Linked DNA regions of Lytechinus pictus. The protein of the gene in region 3 binds, or shares a complex with, the protein of the main gene of each other region. Links are inferred from orthologs where the notes say so. Each region holds a gene or a part of one and is shown on either strand. Other genes may lie near its edges. The genes, in order: THO complex subunit 7 homolog, THO complex subunit 2-like, chromatin target of PRMT1 protein-like and THO complex subunit 1-like.

Region 1 (7,383 bases), about 19 Mb from region 3:
AACGAGCTGAATCCATATAAAAAAGAAAAATAAAAGAAACATATTGTTGAAAGTTTGAGGAAGATTGAATGAATAATAAGAAAGTTATGAGCATTTGAATATTGAGATCACTAGTGCCATGTAGATCCTCCCATCGGCAATGCGACCAACATCTGTGCTGTCACACACGTACAACTCCCTCATTACTTTAGTACTTATTTCACTTATATTCTCACTTTTATAGAGTCTAGGCACATTTTTGTTAAACAATGTGATATGTCTCTTGTTCTTGATTGGTTTGAATAAATTTGAACTTGAACTTGATTTGAACTTGAACTTCTCTTTATGAGATGACAAGTACAGAGGTTTCACAACATCATATCATTGATGAATCGTTTGTCATATGATTAGAATGAGCAAAAAGAGATGTTTTGGGGTATATTTTCAGTGTTCAAATGGGAGAGTTGTACGTGTGTGACATCACAGATCTTGGTCGCATTGCCAATGGGAGGATCTCCATAGCATTAGTGATCTCGACATTGAAATGCTCACAACTCTGTTATTGCTAGTCCTATTTTACTCAAACTTTTGTTGATCTCATTCTTTGATTTTTCTGCTTTCACAAAAGCTAACTTGCTCCAAGAGTTTCATTCTCCTTTAACCTAAGGTTAAGTTTTTGAAATGTCATCATAACTTAGAAAATATATAGACCTAGTTCATGAAACTTATACATAAGGTTAATCAAGTATCACTGAACATCCTGCATGAGTTTCACGTCACATGACCAAGGTCAAAGGTCATTTAGGGTCAATGAACTTTGGCCGAATTGGGGGTATCTGTTGAATTACCATCATAACTTTGAAAGTTTATGGATCTGATTCATGAAACTTGGACATAATAGTAATCAAGTATTACTGAACATCCTGTGCAAGTTTCAGGTCACATGATCAAGGTCAAAGGTCATTTAGGGTCAATGAACTTTGGCCAAATTGGGGTATTTGTTGAATTACAGCCATAAATTTGAAAGTGTGTCGGTCTAGTTCATAAAACTTGGACATAATAGTAATCAAGTATCACTGAACATCCTGTGCGAGTTTCAGGTCACATGATCAAGGTCAAAGGTCATGTAAGGTCAAAGAACTTTGGCCACGTTGGGGGTATTTGTTGAATTGCCATCATATCTCTATAAGTGTATTGGTCTAGTTCATAAAACGTGGAAATAGAAGTAACCAAGTATCACTGAACATCTTGTGCGAGTTATAGTAGTTTTCAAAATCAGCACTGCTGCTATATTGAATCGCGTGATGCAGGTGAGACGGCCAGAGGCATTCCACTTGTTTCTGGAGAAGTTGATACCACTTTTCATTTTATACTGTATTGAAAATATGTTAGATTATTTTGGAAAATTATAGAAAGATTGGTATTTTATATTTTCAAGATTATTATTTCTATAGATGAAAAACATTAATTATAGGTTATGATCTGCAAAATTCCAGCTATGTTTTGTGTAATCTATAATTTTGTGTTATTGTTCAATTTGTTATTTATCAAAATTATATAAAAAGCATATTCAAAGGAAAAAAATATGCAAATTCTTTATGGATTGAATTCAAGCTTACTATGATTATTTATTTAGAAAGTTTATATCAACAAAGAAAAAAAATCTGAATTTTGAAAAAATGTGATATTCAAAATAGTATTGCATTATTGAATTGAATTGATTTTTTTTTTGTATATATATATATGTACATGTTATTGTGAATAAATGTGAATAAATGCCTCGATTAAGAGGATAAATGAAAAAAATCATATAACTTGACTCTTAAGTAAATTTGATTCTTTTTTCTAAATTAAAAATAGAGATTGAAAAATGAAAAATTTCTTGCCATATTACTTTCCAACAAAAAAACTTTCCACCAAAAATAATCCCAAAATTCAAGTTTTTGAGCGCTCTAGTGAATACAAAAATTATTCCCAAGTTACTAATAAAAAAATAGATTACAACTGTATGGAAATTAGTATTTTTGGTCACAAAAGTGTTATTTTCATGATTTTTTTAAGTGCGTGTTGTGTTCTGCATTGGCATATCATAGTCCTACCTGTAGATTCCCCACAGGCAGGATGGTTGCAGTGAGCAAGTGCCTCAATGCAGCTCCGCAGGGGTAGGCTTGATCATGGGGTTTATTACGTGCCGCCGCGCACAGAAAAATCAAGCCATAGAAGTCGTGTGTTGTGGACGCCAGAAGTGGCGTCGCAGCACACGCGACCCACTAGTTAGAAATCCACTGTGGCTCTTTGTGCGAGGTGACTTACCTTGCACTACATGAACCACGAGATCTAGTGTGAGTGACCTCAACTTGATGTTCGTGTATAGTCGCGTATTGTATTACAGGACACTATCATGATTATGGACGCGCATATTACTGCGTACGAAAACAATTTTGTACTGTAACTATTGCACAGTTCTATTTCACAGAGCAATACATAGAACAAGATTGCAAAAACAAGGCAAAAAAATCCAACTTTTACCTTATTTATCTCTAAAATAAAGTACGGGTTGTGTGGTCCAGTGGTTAGAGCATTGGAGTCATAATCGCAAGGTTGTGAGTTCGAATCCCAACTCTGCCATTGTCTCCACTTTGATAAAAAGGCCCGAGAGTGATATCTGTCGTCTATAACGTCAGCCACTATGACTGATTAACCTAGACGTAAAATGTTTCATAGGTAATTGGTTATATGCCAGCTTGGCGTTTACCAGCAAAATGCTGTCCTGCCGAGTTCCTACGAGAGTTACCACAAACAGAAACAGAAACAGAAAATGACAGAAAATGCTTAAAATATCATATAACATAGTTTTGCATGAACAATTGATATATTTTCTGACGGAAATATGGGCCTGATTTGACGAATTTAAATCTCGTCTGCGCGCCCCTTCGATCGAATGTTGAGGTGTGGTGTATTGTGGGTGATCATCGACGGCTAGCTAGCTAGTTCTCGACTCAAGGTATACCCTTGCGCGAGGTTTACCGTGATAACGTGATAAGAGCCGTCAACGATCGACAGCGCATCGATAGATCTTGATTAGCGTCACGATACGAACAAGCATAGTAGCCATGGAACATGCAGTTAAAAAAGAAAAAAAATAAAATTAGTCAGCAAACCCAAATTTATTACCAATATCTGCTCAGATTCGATGTAAAAAAAGCAAACTAAAAACTTAGAATATACCCATGATATGATATATGAAGAAAAAATTCACACTAATTCTTCCTTACATCATTATAATCAAGAATATCTTTACCCATCCGGCTCGCGTCCGCAATCATGATGTAATTTGTCACATGCGAAAATAATTGTTTTTCGTGGAGGGGTATGAGGCAAGTGCGATGCAAAGAAAATGATTGGTAAATATAAAAATAATTTTATCATATTCATAATTTTCATACTATTTGGAATAGCAAGTGCGAAATTTTCATGATTGTATTTCCTCTAATCTAATTGTCATTTTTAAAGCACTGAAATAAAGGTGTCCGGCAGTAGGATACACTGCCATACTGTAATGTAGGCTCCACTTCACCACCGCTACACCTACCTGTGTAGTGTAGCTGTATTGAAGTGGAGTGGAGTCTGGAGCCTACATGAACATCACTTGAGGTAGATTAAGCCAGTGACAGTGTATGGTATTTTTGGATCGTATTACCAAAAACTTTTCATAAATTCAATCATATCATACTCAATATTTTCTGAAAATGCATCAGACCTCCACCAAAAATAAACAAATACCTACAAATAAAGATGTAATATTTTTGCCAAGATATGTTGCCCTTTTTATCAGCTTCCAATCACTCTCTTTCGAAAAATTTTGGTCACCACTCACCTGAGCTGAGAATGGTATTGTATTGCCATCAACACCAACACCGAACTTGAAATTAGCCAATAGGCTTGACCTTTGACTTGCTTCGTTATGACATAGACCTCTAGCTAGGATGAGCTACATTATGAGGAGCCATTTTGTAGAACAATGTGGAGAAATTATTATTAAACAAATAATAATTATCTTACATTTTAGTTGGTAAATAATCACCATATTTTAATAGTTTATTGTGCAATTTCAAGCATCTCAGCCAGACTGTACACTGGTAGCATCTTAACAGAACGTCGTAAAGGGATATGGGATTTCATTTATTGCTCCAGGCCTCTGGAACTCCTTTCTTCACTCCGTGAAATTGACAACATTGAGCTCTTCAAATTGTCTCTCAAAACTCACTTATTTCAGCAGATGTGTAATAATTAGCTTAATTGGATGAGCCTGCACCTACCTGTTTGAATGCTTTTAAAAGAAATATGGCGCAATATAAATGCGTTGGATCATCATCATCATCTGTCGAGGCTCAGATGGGTTGGAGTTGTGATTCTACCCTGCTTCCACCCTCGCGGTTGGAGGGAAAAAATTTTGCAAAATCCTTCCTGAATAATTCTTCCCATTATATCAATAAGAGCTTCTTGATAAGAAGGGGTAGTTTTTTCACTTTTCTCACTTTGCCGACTTCGTGTAACGCTTTGCATCGATTTTGTAGATGATTTTGGTATCCAATTTCAGAGAATGTCTCCACTTTGGGAGACCATTTTTTTTTGTTTACATTATATGAGGCAGCTCTAGGGATTACCTAGACCAAAAGCTTCTGTCTGTATTATATTGGTTGTTCCGCTGAACTCCGTTGGCTCCACTCACCAATTACAGAGACCGAAGTTCTAACTCGATCTGCACAGGGACTCAATGGCCATATTTTTATGTATTCAGTTCGAATAACCAAGGGAAGTGGAAGTTGCGTGACAGCCGAAGTATTAGTCATTGTTTTTTTTTTCGTTTTAAGTTTATTTTTTCCTGTTTTGGTGCATTTCAGGCCAAAATGGAATAATAATCTTTATTTTGGTCAAGTTCTATTTATATATTTTTATGAAATTAAGACAGAAATTGATGAGCCCCGTTGGAGGGATTTTACATTGTTAACCTTCAAATGGTAGCTGCACGATCGCGAGCCATCTGTGTAGAAATTTAAAAAATAATGAATGTTTTTAAAATCCTCGAAACAGCCGGCTGCCAGCTGTCTAGGGATTGCCTTGCTGGCAAACAAACCTGTGATGTGCAAATTCCTCGTGAAATTTACTCCTCTTCACCATCTACTATAAAATTTACATCAATTTTATTTTACAAACAGTTTTATTTTTATCTGCAATAGATTCTTTACACACAAATTAAATGGGATTTTAATGTCAGCAAGACAAACTTTTGGAAGGGAATAACTGCCTTGTTGGTGTTGTTTCTTTTATCCCCAATAGGACAGATTGTCTCCCATATTGGAGAAAGTCTCCAATATATGCGGTGTGCCTCTAATTTTAGCTGTTTAGAATGTTTTGAAGTCATCTTTGTCTGATATTTGGCACTGTTCAATATTTGTTCACTTTACCTAGGATTTTCCAAAGGGGGAGGGGGACAATTTTTGTTCAGAAAACAATTTAACAAGCCCCCCCAAAAAAAGTTCTGGTTCTGACAAAATTAGGGTTGAAATCAAAGTTTAAATTAAATTTGATAAATCTCATCTTTTGCTGGGGATGAGGCCTAAGTATTATTATTCGTTATGTATAAAAATTCAATTTTACTAGTATTCAGGTGAATGATAATTGAATATCCTTTTTTTTTTCATACTTACAGAGGAAGTGATACGAAAAAGGCTGCTTATTGAAGGAGAGAGTGGAGGTGATGATAGAAGAATCAGTAATCTACTCAAAACCTTTGTGAAATGGTGTCACACGGATCAGAGCAATGAAGAATGGTTAGTTTTCTGTTGATGATTGTGGCATACTGTTCCTTGCAAAATCATTTGAACCCCATAATATATTAAGTAATCTATTCTAACAAAATTTTGGTTTAGTTCTGTATGGAATGAAAGAACCAACTAGATGGTATGTCAACGAGAAATTTATAGCCTCTTATTTAATTAACATTAGGAATCATTTCCATCTTTGCATGAATGGGTATGGTCAATCAAGTGAATAAATGTCATTACTGTACCTTTCTGTGATCACTGAAGCATACCCTGTAATGCTCAAATGATGCTGGCCTGTTCATTCAGGTTTTTTTATTTTTTTTTTATTGAGGACATAAAGCCTTCAATTGATAAAGGATTCATAGTATTTCCTTTTCAATTCATGTCAGAATGAACAAACTCAGTTTAAATGATAAGAAATGTGTATCAAATGAAAAAGGATACTTCATCTATCGAAAATTTGAATGATCAAATCATGATCTTAGAAGGTTGACAAAATAAATGCAAAATATCGTAATGTTGCCACTATTTGTTCATGTATGAATGAAAACAATTCCTAATCGTGATTAAATCAAAGACTATTGCCTTATTATGAATTTATATATAAACTGGGTTCCAAAAGAAACTGATCAAACTTTCAAGGGCACTGCACAAATTATAGCTCCATTGTCAAAATGAACAATATTTTTACACAGGCTAGCTTCAATACTCTAAGCACATGTCAATGATTAAGAGATTGGTTTCAGAATCCAAAGTTACAAAATGGCAAAAGAAAGACCAATAAAAATGAGATGAGATTAACCCTAAAAGGACAGGGAGGGGGGGGGGGGCTATCAGACAATGATTATGCCGAAAATGGCTCATTTTTATACTTCATGTACAAAGTCTATGGGAGATGAAATTCATAAAAGGGTGATTTTTTTTATTCTGATTGATCTGCTTGATTAATTTAGGGTTTAATTTAGTTGTTAAATGGTTTTTAATAATTTCCACTGAAAAAAAAAAAAAAAAAAGGGAAATACTTTAGAAATTCTAAAAACAAAGAGATACATAAGGAAAAATTTGACAGTTGCAATTTTTTGTAGAATCCTTTAGATAAGATTACACAGATGACATCTGGGAACAAAAGAAAATTTGAGGTGAAATTGGATGTTAAATATACAAATAATGTTTTTCATTAATATATATGCATATTTTGTCCATAATAAATAATAAATAATTAATTTTGGAAATTTTGTTTGTACTGGCTTGTAGTTAATGTGGTAAAGAATTTCAGCACAATCACATGAATGGCAGCCAAGATGATACCCCCCCCCCCAGTCCTCAATACATCTCAAATAGCCTACCGTAGTCCTAGGGTTCAACAAACGTCCCTATTTATCACACATGTGCTTCACAGGAATGTTAAAGAGATTGACTTGATCACAAAAAGCTACAGGAAGTTTAAATCAAAATTTTAAATGACTGGAACAATCCAACACACACAGATTCCAAGGGGAAGTCCCGGTAAGCGGGGGATAATCTGATGGTTCCATGACATTTGCTCCGGCAACAATTGCTCCGATTGAAAATCTTC
Region 2 (7,949 bases), on a different chromosome or scaffold from region 3:
TTTGTGGCTATTTTTCCGGAAAATGCCTTCGCCAGGGTGTAAAACGGAAACGCGCTCGCCGCATAATTCGATCCTCCGCGCATACAGTCGACAGATTGACAAAGAAAATATCGACAACAGATTACCCTGGAAATAACAAAGGTGTGAAATTAAGATAAATTCCCTATTTCTAAAAATTTTGGGGAATATGTCGAAATCTTTGAATTATGCCAGGTTGAATACTAGTACCCATACGGTATATAAGTGAGGAGAAGCGGGGGAGAAGCGTGGACCGGGTTCTGGAGACTGCGAGACGGCAGAACGCTACCCCGACAGAGCTCGGTTACGCCACAATACCATGACATGTACGATTATTTGTATTATGGATAATTATTTGTCTTTCGTGAACAGTGTTTTGTTAATATTGATTTGTAATATTTTACAATGTACCATTACTTTGAACTGAATGATTAATAAATATTATTACAAAAAAAAAAAGTCTATCGGACCCGCGGTCTATTTTCAGATCACAATATCAAAAATTTTCTGCTCGCATTATTAATGTAGAAAGATCCCCTATTACTCACCCTTTTCATGATTTACAAAACATGAGTATAGAGTGTCCCGTTTTTAGGTCTCAATCTTGAATTCTTCTGCTCAAGCATCAATTGTTTAGTTATACTTATATAGCTACCCTGTTCACGATTACAAAAATTGATTAAAAATTTCGATTCTTTTTGGCTCGCGATTCGTGCGTGCTAGCATATATTGATTGTTGAAATATGTAACGTCTTCATGGGTAAGTGCAAGCAGTCCTTAACAAGTACCTTTTCGATCGATTCAAATTAAACGTAAACTATATGAACGTTTTCTGGCTTCATTTCGCACTCGCATTATTAATGTAAGGACCGGGTGTAAGGAAGACCCCCAATTACTCATCCTTTTCATGATTTACAAAACATGAGTATAGAGTGTCCCGTTTTTAGGTCTCAATCTTGAATTCTTCTGCTCAAGCATCAATTGTTTAGTTATACTTATATAGCTACCCTGTTCACGATTACAAAAATTGATTAAAAATTTCGATTCTTTTTGGCTCGCGATTCGTGCGTGCTAGCATATATTGATTGTTGAAATATGTAACGTCTTCATGGGTAAGTGCAAGCAGTCCTTAACAAGTACCTTTTCGATCGATTCAAATTAAACGTAAACTATATGAACGTTTTCTGGCTTCATTTCGCACTCGCATTATTAATGTAAGGACCGGGTGTAAGGAAGACCCCCAATTACTCATCCTTTTCATGATTTACAAAACATGAGTATAGAGTGTCCCGTTTTTAGGTCTCAATCTTGAATTCTTCTGCTCAAGCATCAATTGTTTAGTTATACTTATATAGCTACCCTGTTCACGATTACAAAAATTGATTAAAAATTTCGATTCTTTTTGGCTCGCGATTCGTGCGTGCTAGCATATATTGATTGTTGAAATATGTAACGTCTTCATGGGTAAGTGCAAGCAGTCCTTAACAAGTACCTTTTCGATCGATTCAAATTAAACGTAAACTATATGAACGTTTTCTGGCTTCATTTCGCACTCGCATTAAGGACCGGGTGTAAGGAAGACCCCCAATTACTCATCCTTTTCATGATTTACAAAACATGAATAGAGCTCTCGTTCTTAGGTCTAAATCTCAAAATTTTCCGCTCGCGCTTCGCGTTCGCATCAATTGTTTAGTTATATACCTATTATATGTTTAAGTTACAAAAAGTGCTTAGAATTTCCAGTCTTTGGGTAAATTTTTTTAAAAAATTCAGCTCGCGCTCGCATTATTTTGATTGTTGAAATATGTAACGTCTTCATGGCCATATGGAAAACTAGCGGACAGAAGGTCCTCGCTGCACGCGCGCACCCTTATAACACGCAGAATTCCCTTGCATCATACCCTTTTTTCACAAACAAATGTGTATCAAGGACAAGCTTTGATTCAGATAGAATTTCCGCCCCCCTGAAATGAATGTTAACAACTTCTTCTATCAGATGACCATAATTTGTTTACATTCAGTTGGTGGGAAATATGGCACTTTATTACATTAAAATCACTCAAAACCATCCATAGTCAGGAATATGTATTGGGATAATGGGTTAGGGGGACATTTTTATAGTACCCGGGTGGATTACATCCGTCGTCACATCGGTGGGTGATGATATCAAGAATTTCCGCCCAGATTATAATAAAGGGCACATTGTAAGGCAAATACTCATGAAAGAACCATGGAGATTGGTTAATAAGGAAATAGAGCACTTTTATCATCAAATCAGAGGAGATTTTCTTTGTGATAGTGATGTCCGAAGAGCAAACCTACACTCGACGTCAGTGGCGTACCGTGGGTCATGGCATTGGGGGGGGCACTAGCAAAAATATTGAGTCACTTAGTGAGTGCGCGAAGCGCGCTCAGTTGCTAGGTATGCTGACCTAATAGAGACATTTAAAGGACAGTGTCATTAAACAGATATGTATGTCACTGGTCACATAATGCGAGCGCGAAGCGCGAGCTGAAAATTTTTGATATTCAGACCTAAAAAGGGACATTATAAGCAAATTTTTGTAATCATGATATGTACCTGTCTCGCTAAACAAACAATGCGAGCGCGAAGCGCGAACTGAAATTTTTATACATTGACCCCAAACGGACATTTTAGGGACTATATTTTAGGAATCTATTAAGAGTATACATATCTCACCATATAGTAATCTAATGCGAGTGCCAAGCACTTGCTGATTTTGTTAGAATTTTATGCATCCAAACACATAAATCACTTGTAGTCATTGTAATCATGACTAACATGCGCATCTCACTAATCAAATATTGCGAGCGCGAGCTGAAAATTTAGGAAATTCAGACCTGAAGAGGGTCATTTTAAGGCTTGTTTGTAGGAATTCACGAAGACCATACGTATTTCACTAACCAAATGAAGCGAGCGCGAAGCGCGAGCTGAATTTTTTTATATATTGACCCCAAACATGGATATTTTAAGGTCTATTTTTAAAAAGAATCCATTAAGAGTACATATATCTCACCATAGTCTTCTAATGCGGGTGCCAAGCGCATGCTGCATGATTTTGTTAGAATTACACCTAAAGACATACTTTTTGTAGTCATGATTATCATACGCATCTCACTAGTCAAATATTGCGAGCGCGAAGCGCGAGCTGAAAAATTAGGAAATTCACACCTGAAGAGGGGCATTCTAAGGCTTGTTTGTAGGAATTCACGTAGACCATGCGTATTTCACTAACCAAATGAAGCGAGCGCAAGCTGAAATTTTTGATATTCAGATCAGAAAAAGGGAAATTTTAAGGACTGATTTTAGGAATTCATGAAGAGCAGACATATCTCACTAATCCACTAATGCGAACATGAGCACGGACGGGAAATGTTTTATATTAAGACCTTAAAATGATATGTCACTACATAAAACAATTATAATTCGAAGTGCGAGGAAATATATTTGGTGAATTGACTTGAAAACGGGAGGTTTTAGTACAACAGGATTATATATCTCGTTAAACAGACGATGCGAGCATCAGGGACAATGAAGACATAGGCCCTGAGCAAATTATGTTTCATAAAGTTATGATATTTTTTTCATTTCTATTTAATATAACATGACATAATTATAATATAATATAACATAATTAACAATAATTTCTTCCTTCCCACTACGTTGCTCTCAGTTTCTCCCTCTTTTTCTCTTTTTCCCCGTTTTTTTTTTTTTTTTTTTTTGGGGGGGGCCAGCCGATTGGGGGGCACGTGCCCCCCATGCCCCCCGTAGTTACGCCACTGCTCGACGTGCATTCAACATATAGGGCTGGACAGAGATTTTTTGTACGTCGGTGTGTTGTTCGAGTCACAGCGGTTTTCTAGCTCTTTCCATTGCAGTGCTGAACATTTTATTAGGAATATATAAATATATATACCTTGTCAGTCCAAACTATGGATATAAATATATCCTAGCTTACCACTGCATAGGTAAGTCTAAAAAATAAGTTTTGTTTATTCCTGTCACTTTATAATGACGTTTTAAATCTTCAAACAACAATAATTTATGAAATTGACACAACAAATTACGCTGAAACATTATTTGTGTATACATTTTATCCCTCTGTAATGCTATATATTTCCCCCATAAAGCCGCAATGGAACATTCTGCACCACTAGTCATACGATGATCGCGAGGTCTGCAAACGTCGTCTGCTATGTTTTCACATGTCCGGTACACTATGCAAGTTTTCGATATGAACTGCAAGCAGTCTTTCATGTACCTTTTCCACCAGTTAACCTCTGCTCGCACTTTGCGTTCGTAGTAAATATTTACTTGCATATACATCTTTTTCAGGATAACAAACATTGCCCAGAATGTTCAAGTTTTAGGAAAAAATACATAAATTTGCCCAAAAAAATTATGCTCGCGCTTCGCGCTCGCATTATAAAAATAAGGACAATGATATTATATATCTATGTTGATTTATAAGAATAAAGCTAAAAAGTGACCATCGAGGACTACTCCTTCAATGAAACAGACAAAAATTACCTTCAAGCGGCCGATCGGGGATTAACATTTGGCTGAAAACATTTTTCGCCCCCCCCCCCTATTGGCGAAGGCTGGATCAGCCTCTGTTTTCCCCTCTACCTTTCGGGACAGATTTCCGCCCATGGTCTTCATAGCCTCCTCATAGTTATACATCCATAATAATTAAAATTAACTTTTAGAATTCGAGGAGTTAAATAATGTCAAGGAAGTCATGCTTTATTTCACGTCTATCCCCAATTTATATCACATCCTTTCCTACAATCCTACATCCTAATCCTCACGGAGAAATACAATTTCCCTGGCATCCCTTTTGTTTGCATCATTTCGGAGACGCAATACTCCATATTTGTTCTAGTCGCTATTATTGGTCGACAGTTTCAACGAGCCGCATACACACTTAGCTAGCTAGCTTTAGCTTTGTATCCGATATCCATACATTTAACATTTAACATGGCGCGTTACCTCATCAACGACGAAGTCTGTAAAAGTTGGGAGAAATGTGGCAGAAATGAGTTGTAAGTTGTCAATTAAATCAGACTTCAATTTATTTTTACACGAAATTTTTCATTTATACTCAGTCATAGGCTCTCCCATTCATATCTACTATGCCAGGCATAGTCTGGCGACAACAAATCATGGTCAATTCCACTCACGCTATTGTATGCGAGGACCGAACCTCGCACAATTCACAACCAACGACAACGTGTTTTTGTAGTGGATTTTCAGTCAGTCCGCAGCCCGTCCGAAAGTGCTCTATTTTATTCAGCGGTACCGGTATGCATAGCCGTCCGTGGTTATGCATACGTAATGAGCTGTGAAGACGAACTTTCCGATCGGTGTTTTTTGCTCTTAGAATCGTTTATTCCTCACATAATTGGTCTTATTTTATAGATAAAACTTTGAAATTTCTGATCAGCTAAATAAAATGCACATTTAATGTATTTTGAAGACCGATATTTAGCTTAGAAAAAATGATTTTTTTTCAAGAAATATATGTGAATAAACAGCGCATTTTTGCATCGAAATCACACTTGCGTCAAATTGATATTATATTCAATATAAAGCGTAGACATTCTTCTTTACGACTGAAAAAGAATTATGAAATTTCATGATGTAGCAAAGTCAGGAACCACAAAAAACCACGGCAATGTCCATCGCGAAATGATTGGAATTGTAGTAGAATTGCCGACGCGTTCTGATTGGTCAACAGCGGCGCACAGACTTACAACATTATATATAGCTTAAAAATCCTGGAAATAGTACGGAAGAGATCGATGGCGAATTGCGTGAGCTCTATGTTTTGACGTGTGCGCTATGTTTTGACGTGTGCAAGGACCCTGGTTCGAACCCGCCGGATTGTGTTTTTTTTTTTTTTTTTTTTTTTTGGGGGGGGGGGGGTTGATGGGGATATGTTTATGCTTTTTCTTTAAATCATATTCCTTCATCGTTCCTACCCAGCTTTATTCTCTTTTTACTTTCTTCTACTTCTTCTTAATCACTGCTTTTGATTTTCAAGTTCTTGATTACACCTATTTAGTATTTGGGCAGGGGTGGGAAGGGAAGTGAGTTAAAGGTCAAGTGCACATCAACTCATAAGTATTTGAATAAATACAGAAATTTCCCTGTTTTAACACAAAACAGTTATATACACAAAACAATGGTATGCAAATAGAGTTGATTATGTCACATCAAATTACTTTTTAAATTTTTGTTGCATTTTTATTATATAAATTTTAGCAAATTTGATGTAAAAAATCTTTCTCGAATCACAATAGGTTACGTTTATGGAAACTACGAATGTTAATGGAGGAATTAAAATCCCTCTCAAAATTTGTTAATGAAAATTAAAATAAAATATACATGTCATGTACATGTATCAAACAAAAAAATACACAAGAAATTAGAGTGCGTGTGACATAATCGGTTCTGTAATTTGCACATTGACCAAGATGAGCATATAATTGTTTTATAAAATTAGGCAAATTTCTCAATGTCAAAATAGTAATTTTTTGAATTTTGAATCATAGTTTTTATGAAATTCTCTGCAATACTTTATTTTTCTTTAAATTCAAATTAATTTTTTGGTGGGGTGGACTTCTAATTGTCTAAACATATGCAAATCAGTAATTCGACACATGCTCACTTTCCTTTCATCCAGGCCACTCCCTCACATCCAACAGGTTTACAGTCTTATAACAAAAATTATTAATTAATTATAATACCATCACACCATAGCTCCATGATCACACAACATTCATACAGTGCTTCACAACAAATATTTCACTTCTGTTCATATATGCAATAATTACTGTGGAAAACAAAAACAAGGCGTAACCACATTCAAATACCGTTTAAAAGGACAAATATATCATACCTTTCGAATAAAAAATTGTGAACATATATGGCACTTAACCTTCAGCACATTAGATAACATATAACACAGTTGCTTGAGAACAAAATATAATTATGGGGCATTGCAAGAAACTTATGTTCAATTGCAAATCAACTACATGTTTGTGTTTAATGAAAGGACATACCCTTAATTTTGGAATGTGTGATTGAGTAGAAAGTTTCTTGCAATGCATTAAAAATGTTCTTTCGTTTTGAATTGTGAATTTTTATTTATGTCAAGCTGTATTCCTGTCCAAGTCAGTATTCTTAGTCCTCCCCAAAACTGTGCTCTAATTTTTTTGTTTCCAATATCGATAAAGATCAATTTTCTGTTGTATCATTATCAGTCAAAAATTTGCAAACGAAAAAAGGGCTTTGTCCAAATCATGGTCTGACCTAAGCTTGTAACCGATTTTGCAATCGGCAACCGATTCCATTCGATTTCACCACAATCGGCAATCACTTGCCGATTTTCGATCATGCCCCTTGAAGGAAAAAATCGAAAAAAAAAATCGGCGTAGATCTGGTTACAGTGCGTGATCGCTCAGAACATATTTCAAGATTGTTTTTGAGGTGCTAGCTATTTAGAGGTCGCATTATTCAGGGAGAAAGACGCGGTATTATCTATGGCGATGTTTAAGAGGATAGATATCTTCTCCTCCAACTCATGGTGATAGCGGATGCCGCCGTGAACTTTGAAAGGTCGTATTACCGACGGAGCTCACTGCGTTACTCTCTTACATCGTTTATAATGATATAAATCTTCTCTTCAACCTCGTGGTGATAGCGGACCCCGCCATAAACTTTTAAAGACTGTACTATTGACGGAGCTTATTGCGTTACTCTCTTACATCGTTTATGATGATATGCATTTTATTTTCAACCTCGTGGTGATAGCGGATGCCGCCGTGAACTTTGAAAGGTCGTACTATTGACGGAGCTCATTGCGTTACTCTCTTACATCGTTTATGATGATTTACATTTTATT
Region 3 (6,928 bases):
GTATACTATTATTAGTAAGTAAGTGTTAGTGTTAATAATAATAATAATTCAGAGTGGAGAAAATATAGATTTAGGCCTAGGCCTATCAATCTATACCTAATTCTTGAGGTTGAATGATCCCGAGCTGGATGGCAAAACTTGTGTGCGTCACATCCAAGGTCACCTCACTCCAGTCGTCTAAATTTATGCAAAACTGGTCAAGTTATATCGGCAAGCGATCACAACGCAACGGTAATGGGATAACAAACAACTCTCTTCACTTCAGTATTCTACACAGCTAGCTAGCTGTACACATATACGGTATCACAGTACAGCGCCAGCTCTGATGCATCTGAGGTCGCGTCTGCGCCCCCAGGATCGCCGCGCCAGCGTACCGTAGCAAAGATACACTTTGACCGTAGCGTACGGGCGCGGCGCGCCCCCGTCCCCCTGGCCAGCCCGGCGATCTCGGTACCGCTTGCTGCCGGATTCCCACCACCACGACGTACATACGTAGGCCTACGTCTGTTGTAGTTCCGCTTCGTCCTCGAAAAACTCAGCCGTACAATTTTCGCTCGCGCTCTAGCGCTATCCTGACAGTCTACATTATAATACTATACCATCCAGAATGAAAAGGGGCTGAGCCTGAGATAGGTTTTTTGTGATCGTTTGGCACCATTTTATAGAGTAACTGGAGGTACTGCTAGCCTCAGGGGCGTAAAAAGGGTCGTCAAACATTTCTCGGTTGTAATTGTATCCGAATTGTATGAACAGACAGTGGCGTATATTATATACTGCAAAATTGGCATAGAAGACAAAAAAATCACAGCTTTAAGTTACGATAAAGCGAAGCAAGCAAACATTTCGACAATTTTATTACCAACATCAATAGATTTTGACATAATCAGAAAATATATCTTATCTCCACCTGTTCGCCACTTTCAACAGGATTTTTTTGTATTGTGCGGAGCCTGATTTGGGCCATATTTAGGGCAATTTCTATGCCGCAGTACGGTAACGTGATGAGTAAAAAGAGAGAGAGGGGGGGGGGGGGCACATGCCCCGGCGATACGGCGTGTGGCAAAAAAAAAAGCTGCTTAAGTCCCGATCGAGCGAGCGAATAAACAAATCACTTTTTCATGACGGAATCTAAGGTTGAGATAGATTTTTACACCTTATTCAGAAAATAGGCCTAGTCTTCCATTTAAGTTACTTGCTTATCTTTCTTTGATCCTTTTTTGTTGTTGTTGTTGTTCTTAGTTATATAGGCCTAACTATATTGGTGACCGTCAGTGGCCCAAACCCTGAATCTGGTAGTGCTATTATGCGGATCACGGGCCCCCGACGGGCCCCCGGAACCCACACTGCAAAAACTCCGGTGTTGATTTAACACCAGCCCGGAATCTATATATGTCCCGGGATATGTCCACACCAGTGAAGTATTGAAACAACGGTTTAGAATCAAACTGATGCTGTTTTAATACTAATTGGTGTTGTATAAACACGTATCTTTCTGGTGTTAGACCAAAACGAAACTGGTGTTGTTTAACACTTCTCTGGTGCATGTGGACATATACTATTCCGGGCTGGTGTTAATTAAATCACACCGGAGTTTTTGCAGTGCATTCTAAAACCTTATAAACATGCATGGCCGCTATTTTTAATCAAATCAGGGTATATAGCTTTAACACAACACATTAACCATGACCTAGTTATTGAAAGCAGTTGCGTAATAATACTTCAAGGGGGCACAACATAGCAAATTTTTTTTTTTTTTAAAGTCGCCAGCGGCGAGCGAAGCGAGCCATAGTTCTTTTGAAAAGAAATTTTAATCAAATCGCGGGGTGAGCTTTTACATGAACACATTAATTGAAAAGCAGTTGCGTAATGAACCACATATTCTTTTTAATGGGGCACAGCCACTGTAACAAAATTGTAAAAAGTCGCCAGTGAGCCAGAAAAAAATTCCGATTTGAAAACAAATCCTAAAAATATGTGATTTTTACATTAATATATTCAGCAAATAACATATCGTATTTCATTAATTCATTTCGTTTCTTTTCTCCTTTTAAATTTCATTTTATTTTCCATCGTCTGTGGCACCCGCCCCCCTGAACTGAAAATACGTATTTCCAGTTCAGTGACCCGCCCCCTACGCCATTTTTTTCCCCCGCGAAAGAAATGGCGCCAGGCCGGGCAGGCTGTCCCCCTACCCCCCCCCCCCCGCCTCGAGAGGGCTATAACGAATAGCGATATGATTCAATTCTGAATGATACTGTGAAATTTGATGAAATTTACATTAATTTTTACTGAGTAATACATGAAGATGCTTATAGGGAGTGTCCGGGCTGAAATATTTATATCTTAGTACATAAATATTATTAGAATAGGATTCACTAAGCAAAATGACGAAAATTTCATAAAAATCGGACAACAAATAATAAAGTTATTGAAGTTAAAAATTTAGCAATATTTTGTGAAAACAGTCGTCATGAATATTCATTAGGTGGGCTGATGATGTCACATCCCCACTTTCCGTTTTCTTATGTTATAATAATTATTTTTGTCATTATTTCATACTTGTGTAATGTCTCCCTTAATTTATAATGAAATAAGTTGCAGCAATAAATATATAATGCACTAAATCAGTTGCACTAGACGGTATACCTAAGGGGGGGGCAGACTGCCCCCCTGACGAGTCACAACTCATGCAGGGGACGTATCCCTGCCCCCCTGACAAGTCACAACTGATACAGACAGACGAGCCCCCCCCCCCCTTTGAGAAGCCAAATTAATTAATTTTAATGTAAAAATGCAATAAAAACAGACGTGTACTCCTTTTTTTAACCTGAAGACCTTTTTGCTATTTTTTTTTTTTTTTTTTTTTGCTTGTCAGATATTTTTCTGGTAAGAAACCCTTTTTTTTTGGTGGAAGACCTTCTTTTTTTTTTTTTTTTTTTTGCTTGTCAAATATTTTTTTGGTAAGAAACCCTTTTTTTTGGAAGGAAGACCTTTTTTTTTTTTTGCTTGTCAAATTTTTTCGCGGACGAAATATCCTCCAAAAATTTGCCCCCCCTTCTGGAAAATCCTATAGGTACGCCAGTAATTAGTTGTCAATCCAATTTTTCTAGTTCTTGGAGGAAAAAAAATGAATAAACCTATTTTCATATATAACTTAATGATTAAGGCGCACTTTCAAAATGATCGGGACATACCATCATTGTAATGGTAATTTAATTCACGACGCAGAATGACGCATTTAAGGAACAATTTTAGCAAGCGATGCGGAGAGATATGGGCCAAATAATGACAGTTCCACAGGTTCCAACCATTCCATTCTATGATTAATTTAAATGAATACAACATATTGATATTCTAAGTATATGTGGATAGTTTTCATGAAAACAGGGAATGTGTTGTTCAGGCAACTATTTTTAACATTTGAACCCGGTCTTCTAGTTTTCGTTTAATTTCTTTTATAATACTTTGTTAAAAGCTCCGTGGTGTAGCTGTTCCGACCCTAATCAGAGGGTCTTGTGTTCGAATCCCACCTCAATACAAAATAACAAGTGGGGATGTGACATCATCAGCCCACCTAATGAATATTCATGACGACTGTTTTCACAAAATATTGCTAAACTTTAGAATTCAATAACTTTGTTATTTGTTATCCAATTTTGATGGAATTTTCGGCATTTTGCTCCGTGAATTCTACTCTATTTATTAAGTTATAAATACTTTCAGCCCGGACCATCCCTTTAAACTCAATCTAAAAATACATAAAGCCTTTGAACGGCATTCTCGAGAACAGAAGATTGGGCAAATGATGAACTCTTTTTATGTTTATTCAGAATATTTAGATGCTGAAGTAACTGTGCAAAATTTTGTTGAAAATGAACATATGGATTTCATTTTCACTGTGGAATAGTAATGGATAGTAAAAGAGCATCATGAAGCACCATATTCAGTCACCATATAAACAAATTTCCGAAAAATTGTGGACTTTTGAAAATGGTCTGTCATAATTATGCAAGACTGAACCGATCAATCTAATTTTTTTCACTGGATTCACTCAACGCGTGTATAAGATCTCATGTAAATATTATATATTCAAATTATTCCATTCAAAAGTTACAGCAGTTTGATTAAGGGTGGCTTACATTTTTGTTGAGTATATCGAGCTGGGAGTCTCCCTGGGTTAATATGCAGCACGGAGAGATCAGTGATATGCAGCCGCAAACTTCGTGGCCGATTTGCAAGGATTTCCGCACGTACGTAATACGCCGACGACGCTAACGACACACAGATCAACCATCAAGCCAATTTTGAAGTCTTTTTTTGCCCGTAAATTACGGTATGTACCGACATATTAACTTTCTAACCTCACTGGGATGTAACACATTTATATTTCATTTAATTAGTTGATAGAAGGATCAAAACCGAATGGAAGTATTATGTATTTTGTACGGTCATGAATAGATCAACTGAGAGTCTGAGCGATGGTGTTCGTGTACGGTTAGCCTGGAGGCGTCTTGGGAGTAAAAATTATTTACTACGTAGACGTAGGCTTACCGGTAGGCCTACTCCCAATGACGCCTGCCACGGAAGGCATTGGGCCACACGAAGGAGAGTTTTTGGAGAAAACAATGTTGCTCCAAAATACTTGATTTGTTTAACTTGCTAGCCACACACTTATGTCTGTATGTACATGGACAACAAGTTCAAATCCCCCCATTACGTACATTTATTTATATTATAGGCCTAGGCCCTACTTAAAAACGATAAATATTAGAAATATTAAGAAAAATTATGTAAGAAGAAGATGAGCAGATACTCACTGATGATCTTGTCGCCATTTTCCTTCTTTGTTCGTAGCCTAGTTACAAGACGCGTATAAGATCGGGCGACGATATCATGAGCAGTGCCAATTAAAAAAAAAAAAATCCATCGGCTGATGAATATCGTGAATTGCTAAATACTTGCATTAGCTAATGAATATTTATTGGCTAATGCAAATTTCTCATTTCTGGCGCAAGCCTCTTTTTGAACCCCCGACAAAAACGTCCCATGTTCGCTCAAGCGTGAACAAAATTTATTAATTTAAATGGCATTTCAAAGATAAGATTTCAGAGCATTTATTAACATAAAAATATAGATATCATAATTTGAAACAATTTTTTATAGACTTTTCAAAAAGTGTTCCGTTTTTTTTAATACGCACTGTATAGTAGACAGCAGGCAGCCGTCAGTTTCGAGGAGTTTTTTTAAATTTCTCTTCGTACATAGCCCATTTACCCAGGAGGCTAAGTTCTAGAGAGTAAAAATCATTTACTAACGTACCGTACGGTATGCTTACTCTCACCGAAGCCAGGGATTTGATTGCATTCATCTTCACGCACCGCCAAAAAACCTCCAACTTTCGCCCCCGAGATTTCTTTTTTCCTTCTAAGATATCTAGCCCTAAATCATGTACATGGGATACAACTTCATTTCCGACATTTCTACGATATTGATTTCATTTTTAAACAAGAATTCATTAAAAAACAAGAAAAATGTTATGAAAAGTCAGGAAAAACTTGCCACCGTGTTTAGGTCGCCATCTTGATTTCATTGTCTTTCACTTGGCGACAGCACGCAAATCGCTGAACTCCATTGGCTCCATTCACCAAATACAGAGACCGAAGTTCTAACTCGATCTGTACAGGGACTCAATGGCCATATGTTTATGTATCAAGTTCAGACAAACCAAGGAAGTGGGAGTTGCGCGACAGCCGAAGTAAATCACTGTTTTTGTCCTTTTAAGTTTACTTTTTCCAGTTTTGGTGCATTTCAGGCCAAAACGGATTAATAATCTTTATTTTGGTCCAGTTCTTATTATATATTTTTATGAAATAAAGACAAAATTCGATGAGCCCCGTCGGGGGGGGGGGGGATTTTGCATTGTTAATCCCCCTAATGGCAGCTGCTGCACGATCGTGAGCCGTCTCTAAAGAGCGCGCTCCCTAGGGAGGGGGAGCAAGTTTTAGATATCTCATCAAATTTAAATAAAAAGAAGACATCTTTTGCGTCTCTAATAGTACCCTTATGAACACAAATTCAATAGACCAAAATAACCCATGAAAAGGATGTCTTTTTCAAGATAGGGCACGTTACATACATGTACATAACGCAATAAGGGTGTCAAAAACACTAAAATAATGAAAAAAGGGTAGGCCTATCTATATCGCTAGAAAAGCTACGTGTTTAGGGTCAAATTTGCAAGGGTATAAACAAGACAAATGTTTTATAAGCGATGTACTTTTTGCCCAAACAGTCAACGCTACGTGTTAAGAGCCTGATTTGCACGAGGTGTGGGAGGTGGGGCCACACTAAACCCAATGATGTACATGTAGGTAAAGGTAAAACCGACGTGATTTAACAATTGAAATATCGCTGTACTTTAGGGGTTCAATTCAGGGAATGCTTGACAAGGGTATCGTTTTGTTTCCAATACTTGTTAAAGGTAGGGTTTCACATACCAATACTATAAGGGGTGCATTTGCAGAATATGAAAAATACTTGTTTAGGGTGCTTTTCAAGACCCCTTGGTCGCGCATGGTATCCACTCGTCAATGGAAGCAATATTGTAATAAAATGAAGCATGTTTGATATTACTTTTTTTTTTATTCCAGTCAAATTTTGGTTGGGATGTACTTGCCCTTTAACTCTTAATGTGCCATTCACTGTAATCAGCGAGTGCCATTTTTTTCAAAGAGTCTATATTTAATTGTTTTATTTATTAAAAAAAAAGGGGAATCACTCCTGAGACAATGTTAAACCTCTTGACCATAAGCTGAACTGAACAATGGAATCACTCATGCATGCACTGCACTCCTCAAAATACAATAGGCACAATAAAAGCTGCATGACCATTGCACGAAAATGTGTTCGTGGTACTCCAGTAGATGCA
Region 4 (7,741 bases), on a different chromosome or scaffold from region 3:
GAAGTCTTGCTTACTCTCAACTCGCATGATCTTGACACAGCCATTAGGAAACTCAAGCTTCACAAAGCCCCAGGCCTCGACAACATAACTTCTGAGCATCTGGTTCATTCAGGTCCAATTTTCCGTCGCCTTCTTCTCCTTCTCCTCCAAAACTCCATCAAACTGGCACATCTTCCAGCATCATTGAAGGAAGCAGTGATCATCCCACTGCACAAAGGAGGGAGCAAACCGGTCAGCGAACCCTCTAGCTACAGAGGCATCTCCCTGACCCCAACTCTATCAAAGCTCTTGGAAATTGCCCTAAAACCTAAGATTGAGGACTCCTTGGTTGAAGTCAACACACCTGACGAACTTCAGTTTGGATTCCAAGCCTCAAAGTCCTGTATTCTCGCTTCACTGACCCTTGAGATGCTTATTGTGCTGAATACATCTCGGAAGAAGCCAACATATCTTGCCCTCTTGGATGCTGCTAAAGCTTTTGATTGTGTCTGGCACCCTGGCCTCTTTCAAAAGCTAGCTGACACTCCTATACCACTGGAAGCTCAGTCTACATTGGTGGAAATGTACAATGGTGCATCCAGCAGAGTACTATGGAAAGGAGATGCCAGCTGCTCCTTTCCTCTTCAGAAGGGTGTGAGACAAGGAGGAATCCTCTCCCCTCTTCTCTACAACATCTTTATTGATGGCCTGATTAAGCTGCTAAGATACAAAGATCTTGGATGCCACTGCCAAAACCTGTATGCTGGGGTAATTGTTCTAGCTGATGATGTGGCCCTCATAGCTTCCTCAGCCAAAGAACTTCAATGCATGCTGAATCTCATCCATACCTATGCAACCACATGGAAGTACAAGATCAACCCATCAAAAAGTGCAATCCTCGTCTTTAATGGGCAAGACCACCTCAAGCACACTTGGTACCTGAATGAAGAGGAAGTTCAAGAAGTCAGTCAGCATCCCCATCTTGGTGTCACCAAATCTTCAACATCTCAAGATCCTGCGCCGAACATCATTGCCAAGGGATATAACTCCATATTCGCTCTGCTAGGTGGTTCGGCTTCAAGAAACAACTTCTGGCCTCCAACCATTGCCAAGTTGTGGACCACCTACTGCATTCCTAGGATGCTATATGGCATTGCTGCCATTAGAGTTAGCAAGAGGTCCAGGGATAAGCTAGACTCAGCGCAGGCCCTTCTCTTCAAAAAGTTCCTAGGGCTCCCCAGAAGCACAGCAAACGAGGCAGTCTTTCTCCTTACCGGAATCATCCCTCTCTCTATATGCAGATCGACCTGAACACCTTGATGACTCTCGGGCAACTGGTTACTTTACCAAGCGATAGGTTTGAGCACAGAATACTTCTAAATGCTCTCGCTGCCGATGTCCCTTTCATCTCCTACTGGAAGCAGCTAATCGCCAAATACAGCTTGCCTGCCATCCTGTCTGGCTCCCTGAGCTTCGACTACCTCACCTGGAAAAGACTGTGCCGCCAGGCCATCTTCAAGAAGCACAATGCTGGCCTAGTTGATGCCACTCAGGAGAAGCACACTCTTGCCTTCTGGAAGCAATGTTCAACGTTTCCAAGCCCTAGCAGTATATTCCCCCCTGCACTACCTTCACACCTCCGTATTGCTGCAAGACTTCGCTCCCAACTTCTGACAGGCACCTACCTAACACAACAAAGACTGAAGACCATAGGCAAGTCTCCCAGCGCCACCTGTAGACTTTGCTCAACGGAGGAAGAAAGCTCCACCCACTTCCTTGCTTCCTGCCCAACTCTCAAACCCCAACGGTCTGTTCTCATTCAACATGTCCCATCTCTAAGCCTCCCTGCTTGTTAGCCAATTAGCCTTCACCTCTGCTCATCCCCTCATCCTTGCCACTAATATCTTATTACCCTCCTCGCACCTATCTGTCACTCTTGCTGCCAATGTCATGACCCACTGCCTCAGATACATTCTTAAAATTCATCATATTCGCTTAGAGAAATTGCTTCAACACAACAACCAACCTGCGGATAGCCGCTGATCCTCGAATACCGGGGGAAGAACAACAAAGAAGAAGAAGAAGCATGGTATAATTTATGGCTAAGTAACTTAGACATGACCCAAATCTGGGCAAGGTTGCCTTCCTCGACAGGAACTCTGAACAGTAGAGGCTTGTTGTTGTTCGTTTTGGGCCTGTTTCACGCCCTAGTAGTCTCCTCGGTAGACACTTAGTGTTGAGAACTCAAAGGTAGAGGCTCCCATGTGGGAGATCACAGGTCTCAAATCTCAATTGGTGTTCAATCATTACAGGGACTCGATTTTAAGGCGCGCGAGAGCGATCGCGCGCTACATGCGCGCCTTAATCCATTTTTGGTAGCGCGATTAATAGCGCGCCTCGCGATAGCTGACCTGCGCGAAAATGCCTAAAGTCGCCCTCGAAATCACCCAAAATCATGCTTTCGGGGGCGACATAAAATCTGAATGTCGCCCCCGAAATTATTGCAGAGTGATAACAACTCAACGGCCCACTAGTGCCATATGCTCGAGCTCCGCTTACCATTTAAAAACCATCCAAAATCCACACTCAAAATCACGAATAAGCCTTAAAAGTAGCGAGTAGCGCAGTTTCAAATTCCGAAGTTGCGTTATTTTTTCTGTACCACGTATTTCCATACACATGGTACCAGGTATGGAAAAAAAAATCAACGCATCGGTCGGGAAAGAGTTGCATGTATAGGGGTCCATTATGACTACCACCGTGTGCCATTTCGAATGCACATGTTTCCCCTACAGATATCACAATTCTGTGATAAAATAATTCGAATTACACAGGAAATAAATCCCAGAGTCTAGTAACCTAGCATTGGTGAGTTGTCATTCGGCTTTGCTTTTCATAACGGCTTATTAACTTCCAAAATAAGTTATCTAATTTATCAATTATAACTAAAAAATCATTTGTTTTCTTTTTCTAGGGGATGAGGTATTATATCAGACAATAAATCATCAAACAAAGCTCCATCTTTTTTACAAGGACGGCGGCAGGCTCACGCATTGGCGCTTTTACTAGCTAGCCAGTTGGAGCTCTGTCTCTCTGCCAGAGCTCTGGGGGACAATTCGCTCAGTAAAGGCCTCAATGATGGTGATTTTCTGTTTCAGACAGAGTTTACATTTCAGGAATATTATTCAAAACTGCCAATAAAGTTTGATGATTTCTTCATTGTCATGTATATTTAAGTTCTTAATGAATACATTCTCACCAAATTTAGACTCCCCCATAGAGAAATTAAATTTTCATGGAGATCTGCGTTTTCAAAGAACTTCAGGAAAAGTTAGGGTATGTGATGGGCCTTTATTACATGTACTGTACGACTAGGGTATTGTACTGGAATAAATGGAGTAGAAATTAGATATTGAATTCATTTATATCCAAGTCCAACTCACAGTCACACACACACGCACACACCCACACACACCCACCCATCCACACACACCCACATCCAAGATTCTAAACATGATAAATAACTTTAAAAATCATACAATATTAAACAAAAAGTAATAATTCCTTAATAAGTGAACAGGTATTCCTCAAAATACAAAAAAGTAGCATTTAAAAAGAGCCCCCGAAATTTGACAAAAAAATTAAAATGGAGCCCCCGAAAAAAAAAAAAAAAAGTTTTGACTTAACTTTTAGCCAAAGTCAAAACCTAACTAAAACAGGTTTTACAACACACAATCTAATTACAATACATTGTAAAACAATTATAAATACTTCCTTTGGTTGTTGATTGTAATTTTATAGTACATACATTTCCTCCATCCATTTTGTTAATTGGGCAAAAAGCTCCCCTTGTATGTTGAAGAAGAGCTTTTTGAAGTGCTCCTCTACCGCTCTCCTTAAAAGTTCTAGGAGAGCTTTTTATTGCTCCCCTTATAATTATAAAACCGAGTCCCTGCATTAGTTGGAAGGATGACTAACAAAAATATTGCTCTCTGCTGTGCTGCAGGTTTTTTTTCGGGAGGGGGGGGGGGGGGGTCCAGTGGCATACAATATTGAGTCTAATTTTTTTAGGGGATGACATATGACGTAAAGGACAAAATTTCTATTTAAGCTAGACCTACAAGCTAGGACGCAAAATAAAAAATATTGACATTTTTTTTTTCATTCATCATGTTCACCTTTCGTTTCACTCATGTCTCATGATTGACATTTTTTTTAATTCATTCATGTTCACCTTTCGTTTCACTCATGTCTCATGTCTCATGATTCATTAGTTACTGATTTACTCATTCTTTCACTCATTCACGGCGGCTGATTCTTTCCTTCCTTCCTTCCTTTCTTTTTTTTTCTTTCTTTCTTTTTTTTCTTTCTTTCTTTCTTTCTTTCTAAGTTAGGCTCTCGCTATCCTACACTGTCAATGGACACCCAGCGCGCGCTACCGCGCTACCGCCCCGGGTCAAGCTAGGCCCTAGCCTGGCCCTGGGCTAGGGCCGGGCTGGGGCGGTAGAGCCAGAGCCAGACATGCCAGAGGGATCATGGCATGTCATGGGTCCAGTGCAGCGCCCAGCCTGGCGCTGACTGGGCTCTCTTTACGTAAATTTACCTCGAACTTGATATTCGATGTGTTGCCGCTTACTTTTGCAGCCAGTTTGGAATCCATACTTGTAAGGAAGAATGTTAAAAATCAAATCCTTTCCACAACTATGGTCTATGCACAGCCAGTGCGCGACAGTCAGCGTGTTGACAATTTGCGAAATGAATAAAATAGTCTTAATAAAAGACTTTTAATTACATAATCGTTGACTCGGGACTAGATATTTTCTATTTTCATATCTTTTACACCGATTCCTGACATTCATAACAACGATTGTTTTTATTCTTTAAAATCAACGAAAAGGCGGTAATTATTTTGGTAATTTGGTCTCTTTAATTCTGTTTTACTTCGTTTATTTTAAATACAAAAATCCTAAGCTGAAACTAATAAAATTAATCATGGCGGCCTCCGAGTCACAGTTTGATTTTGAAGCCTCGAGGGTAAAATACTTGGTAAGATGTTTTCTGACCATCTAAACATTTATTTATTCTATAAAATCATTCATGTTTTGATTCTTGTACATTTGGATCAAAATTTTAGTTTGGCTCTGTATCATTTTAAGCTTATTTCATCTTGTTAAATCCATTGTTAAATTCTGAGTGTCATGTCTGCGAGTGTCACTGTGTGCTGTCCCATATATTGTAAAATTTGTTGTGTTTAAATCTTTAATTTCCCGACTTGTCTGTTGGCTATTGCCATATCCGTGTAGCCAGGAGGCTCCTGGAGAGTAAAAAATCCTTTTTCTAACGTAGGCTTACTCTCTTAGGAGCAGCAGGGATTGGGTCCCATTCATGCGCGTGTAATACGTAACGTCGTAGGCCTAGGCCTACCGCAAAAAAAATTAAACCTTGGGCCTGGCTTTGGCCTTTGCTTGGCTTCGCCCCAGTCCAGTCTCCAGAGTCAGACTAGACTGCACATCGTCATTGACTGCAGCAGAGTTTTTTACTTTATACCTTTATACCGCATCTACTGGAAAAATAAAGTTGTTCCTGCAGTCAAGTTTCCAGGTCTATCTTGTTGTCTTCCTAGCTTGGATAAGTTCGAAAAACTGAGTCTGCTATTTGTGCAATGTGCTGTGCCAATGTATTGAAATGAAAAAGGCACTATTCCCATGCGTGAACATAATTAATGCCACGCAGACCAGAACTTGTCTAACTTTGTCTTGAAGCCATTGATTGTTGATGCTGTGACTACCTCAGTAGGCAAAGAGTTCCAGTCATTAACCACTCTAACACTGAAGGTGTTTTGTCTCACTGCCAGTCTACTCCTTTTCAAAAATAGCTTGTAAGGGTGGCCACGCGTTGCTTGAGTGGTAGCTGTTGTGAAGAATAGGTCTCTATTCACATCATCAATGCCCTGAATTATTTTATAGGTTTGTATCATGTCACCTCTGCGCAGTCTGTACTTGATGGAGGGTAATTTCATTTCACGCAGTCTTCTACCATAGTCCATTTCTTTCAGGGCTGGTACTAGCTTGGTCGCTCGTCGCTGGACTTTCTCAATAGCCTTCAAGTCAGAAGCATATCTTGGGTACCATATTCCATTCGCATATTCAAGAATTGGTCTCACGAGTGACTTGTACAACCTTTTGATGTTTTCTTTGTCTCTATGCAAGAAAGTGTGTCGAATCATAGCAAGCACACGATTAGCTTTCAAGACTGCGTTGGCTACTTGGGAATGGAATTTCAGTTGAGAGTCCATAATGACTCCCAAGTCTCTTTCCTCCGAAACTTCCTCCAGCACATCTCCATCTAGATGATACTGATGATGGGTATTCTGATGACCTAGATGGAGGGATCTGCACTTTCTAAAACTCTACACGATTAAATCTAGCCCTAAATCATGTATTGTAAATGAGATACAAGTCCAACTTCATTTCCGACATTTCTACGAGTAGGATATTGATTTCATTTTTAAACAAGAATTCATTAAAAAAACTAGAAAAATATTATGAAAAGACGGGGAAAACTTGCCACCGTGTTTACGTGGCCATCTTGTTTTCTTTGTCATTCGCCAAGATGACAGCACGCATATCGCGATATCGGTGGCAAGTTTTCCCAGTCTTTTCATAATATTTTTCTTGATTTTTAATGAATACTTGTTTAAAAATGAAATCAATATCGTAGAAATGTCGGAAATGAAGACTGAAGTTGTATCTCATTTACATGATTTAGGGCTAGATCTTTTAGAAAGAAAGTAGAAATTTCTGGGGCGAAAGTTTTATTTTTTTTTGCGGTACACGCGCATGAATGGGACGCAATCCCTGGCTCCGTGCAGAGTAAGCCTACGTTAGTAGAAAGATTTTTACTCTCCAGGAGCCTCCTGCATTGTGACTACATAGTAACATACCAACACTGCATTAATATGCACACATGACACACTAAGCAGTAGCAGTAAGTAGTACATGTAGGGGATGTTTAACAATTGCAAGTAGGATCTACTTAAATGCAAACACGTATCTAAATTAAACGCGCGCAATCTAATTCAGTAATTGATCAATAAGCAGTAGTGCACCTCCTCTTTGCATGATCTGACCAATGTGGTTATGCCTTTTATACCGCACGCAACTAGGCATTTAAGTGCGACTCTAAGTCTAAGTCATGCTAAATCTTGTGAAACACCCCCCCCCCCCCCAAGAGTTCTAGTAGAGGTCTACAGTCATGACTGTCTTTGTACTTTTTTTTTATATAGCTTTTGTCGTCTTTTGATACTTTTTACTTTTGTTCCCCCCTTTTTGTTCAGGCTCTTGTCATTGTCAGGAGTGTTTTATGCCTCTAGCTGTAGGCGGCTCAATTATTTTCAGCAGACTGAAATCTATTTCACAAAGCTACATGATAGAAAAGACACCATACATTAGAGAACAGTCTCTTTGAATTTGTCAAATGTCAGTTTGCCTTGGGATTGGAGGTGACAACAATTTTTTTATGGCCACATTCATTGAAAATGAAGTATAATATTTGATAGTAGTCTAATTCTTGTTATATTTCATTATGTGGTTATCTTCTTATCTGTAGCTGTACTACTGTTATATGTAAAGAAAACTGTTATAAGTTTGAAAAAAAATTCATTCTTCATTTTTTATTTCATGCTAGACCCCTATTTTTTTTTTAATGCTTTTTTAATAACTTTTCTTTTTTGTTGTAGTCGAGTTTGGATGCATCCCACAAG

Evidence for each region.
Region 1: chromatin target of PRMT1 protein-like (region 3) and THO complex subunit 7 homolog share a complex: the UniProt entries of both Homo sapiens proteins name them as parts of the transcription/export (TREX) complex. The link is inferred for Lytechinus pictus from reciprocal best matches to the Homo sapiens genes CHTOP and THOC7.
Region 2: chromatin target of PRMT1 protein-like (region 3) and THO complex subunit 2-like share a complex: the UniProt entries of both Homo sapiens proteins name them as parts of the transcription/export (TREX) complex. The link is inferred for Lytechinus pictus from reciprocal best matches to the Homo sapiens genes CHTOP and THOC2.
Region 4: chromatin target of PRMT1 protein-like (region 3) and THO complex subunit 1-like share a complex: the UniProt entries of both Homo sapiens proteins name them as parts of the transcription/export (TREX) complex. The link is inferred for Lytechinus pictus from reciprocal best matches to the Homo sapiens genes CHTOP and THOC1.

What each region holds. Positions count from the first base shown.
Region 1 is NC_087247.1:45,236,476-45,243,858, reverse strand, and holds the start of THO complex subunit 7 homolog, read left to right. Parts: upstream 1-4,367; 5' UTR 4,368-5,813; intron 5,814-7,383. UniProt on the Homo sapiens protein: Component of the THO subcomplex of the TREX complex which is thought to couple mRNA transcription, processing and nuclear export, and which specifically associates with spliced mRNA and not with unspliced pre-mRNA.
Region 2 is NW_026974140.1:1,412,898-1,420,846, reverse strand, and holds the start of THO complex subunit 2-like, read left to right. Parts: upstream 1-4,935; 5' UTR 4,936-5,020; coding exon 5,021-5,085; intron 5,086-7,949. UniProt on the Homo sapiens protein: Component of the THO subcomplex of the TREX complex which is thought to couple mRNA transcription, processing and nuclear export, and which specifically associates with spliced mRNA and not with unspliced pre-mRNA.
Region 3 is NC_087247.1:25,760,119-25,767,046, reverse strand, and holds the start of chromatin target of PRMT1 protein-like, read left to right. Parts: upstream 1-3,908; 5' UTR 3,909-4,333; intron 4,334-6,928. UniProt on the Homo sapiens protein: Plays an important role in the ligand-dependent activation of estrogen receptor target genes. May play a role in the silencing of fetal globin genes.
Region 4 is NC_087261.1:24,315,170-24,322,910, reverse strand, and holds the start of THO complex subunit 1-like, read left to right. Parts: upstream 1-4,718; 5' UTR 4,719-4,971; coding exon 4,972-5,025; intron 5,026-7,717; coding exon 7,718-7,741. Other genes in the region: uncharacterized protein LOC129279903, read right to left, coding at 4,583-4,639. UniProt on the Homo sapiens protein: Component of the THO subcomplex of the TREX complex which is thought to couple mRNA transcription, processing and nuclear export, and which specifically associates with spliced mRNA and not with unspliced pre-mRNA.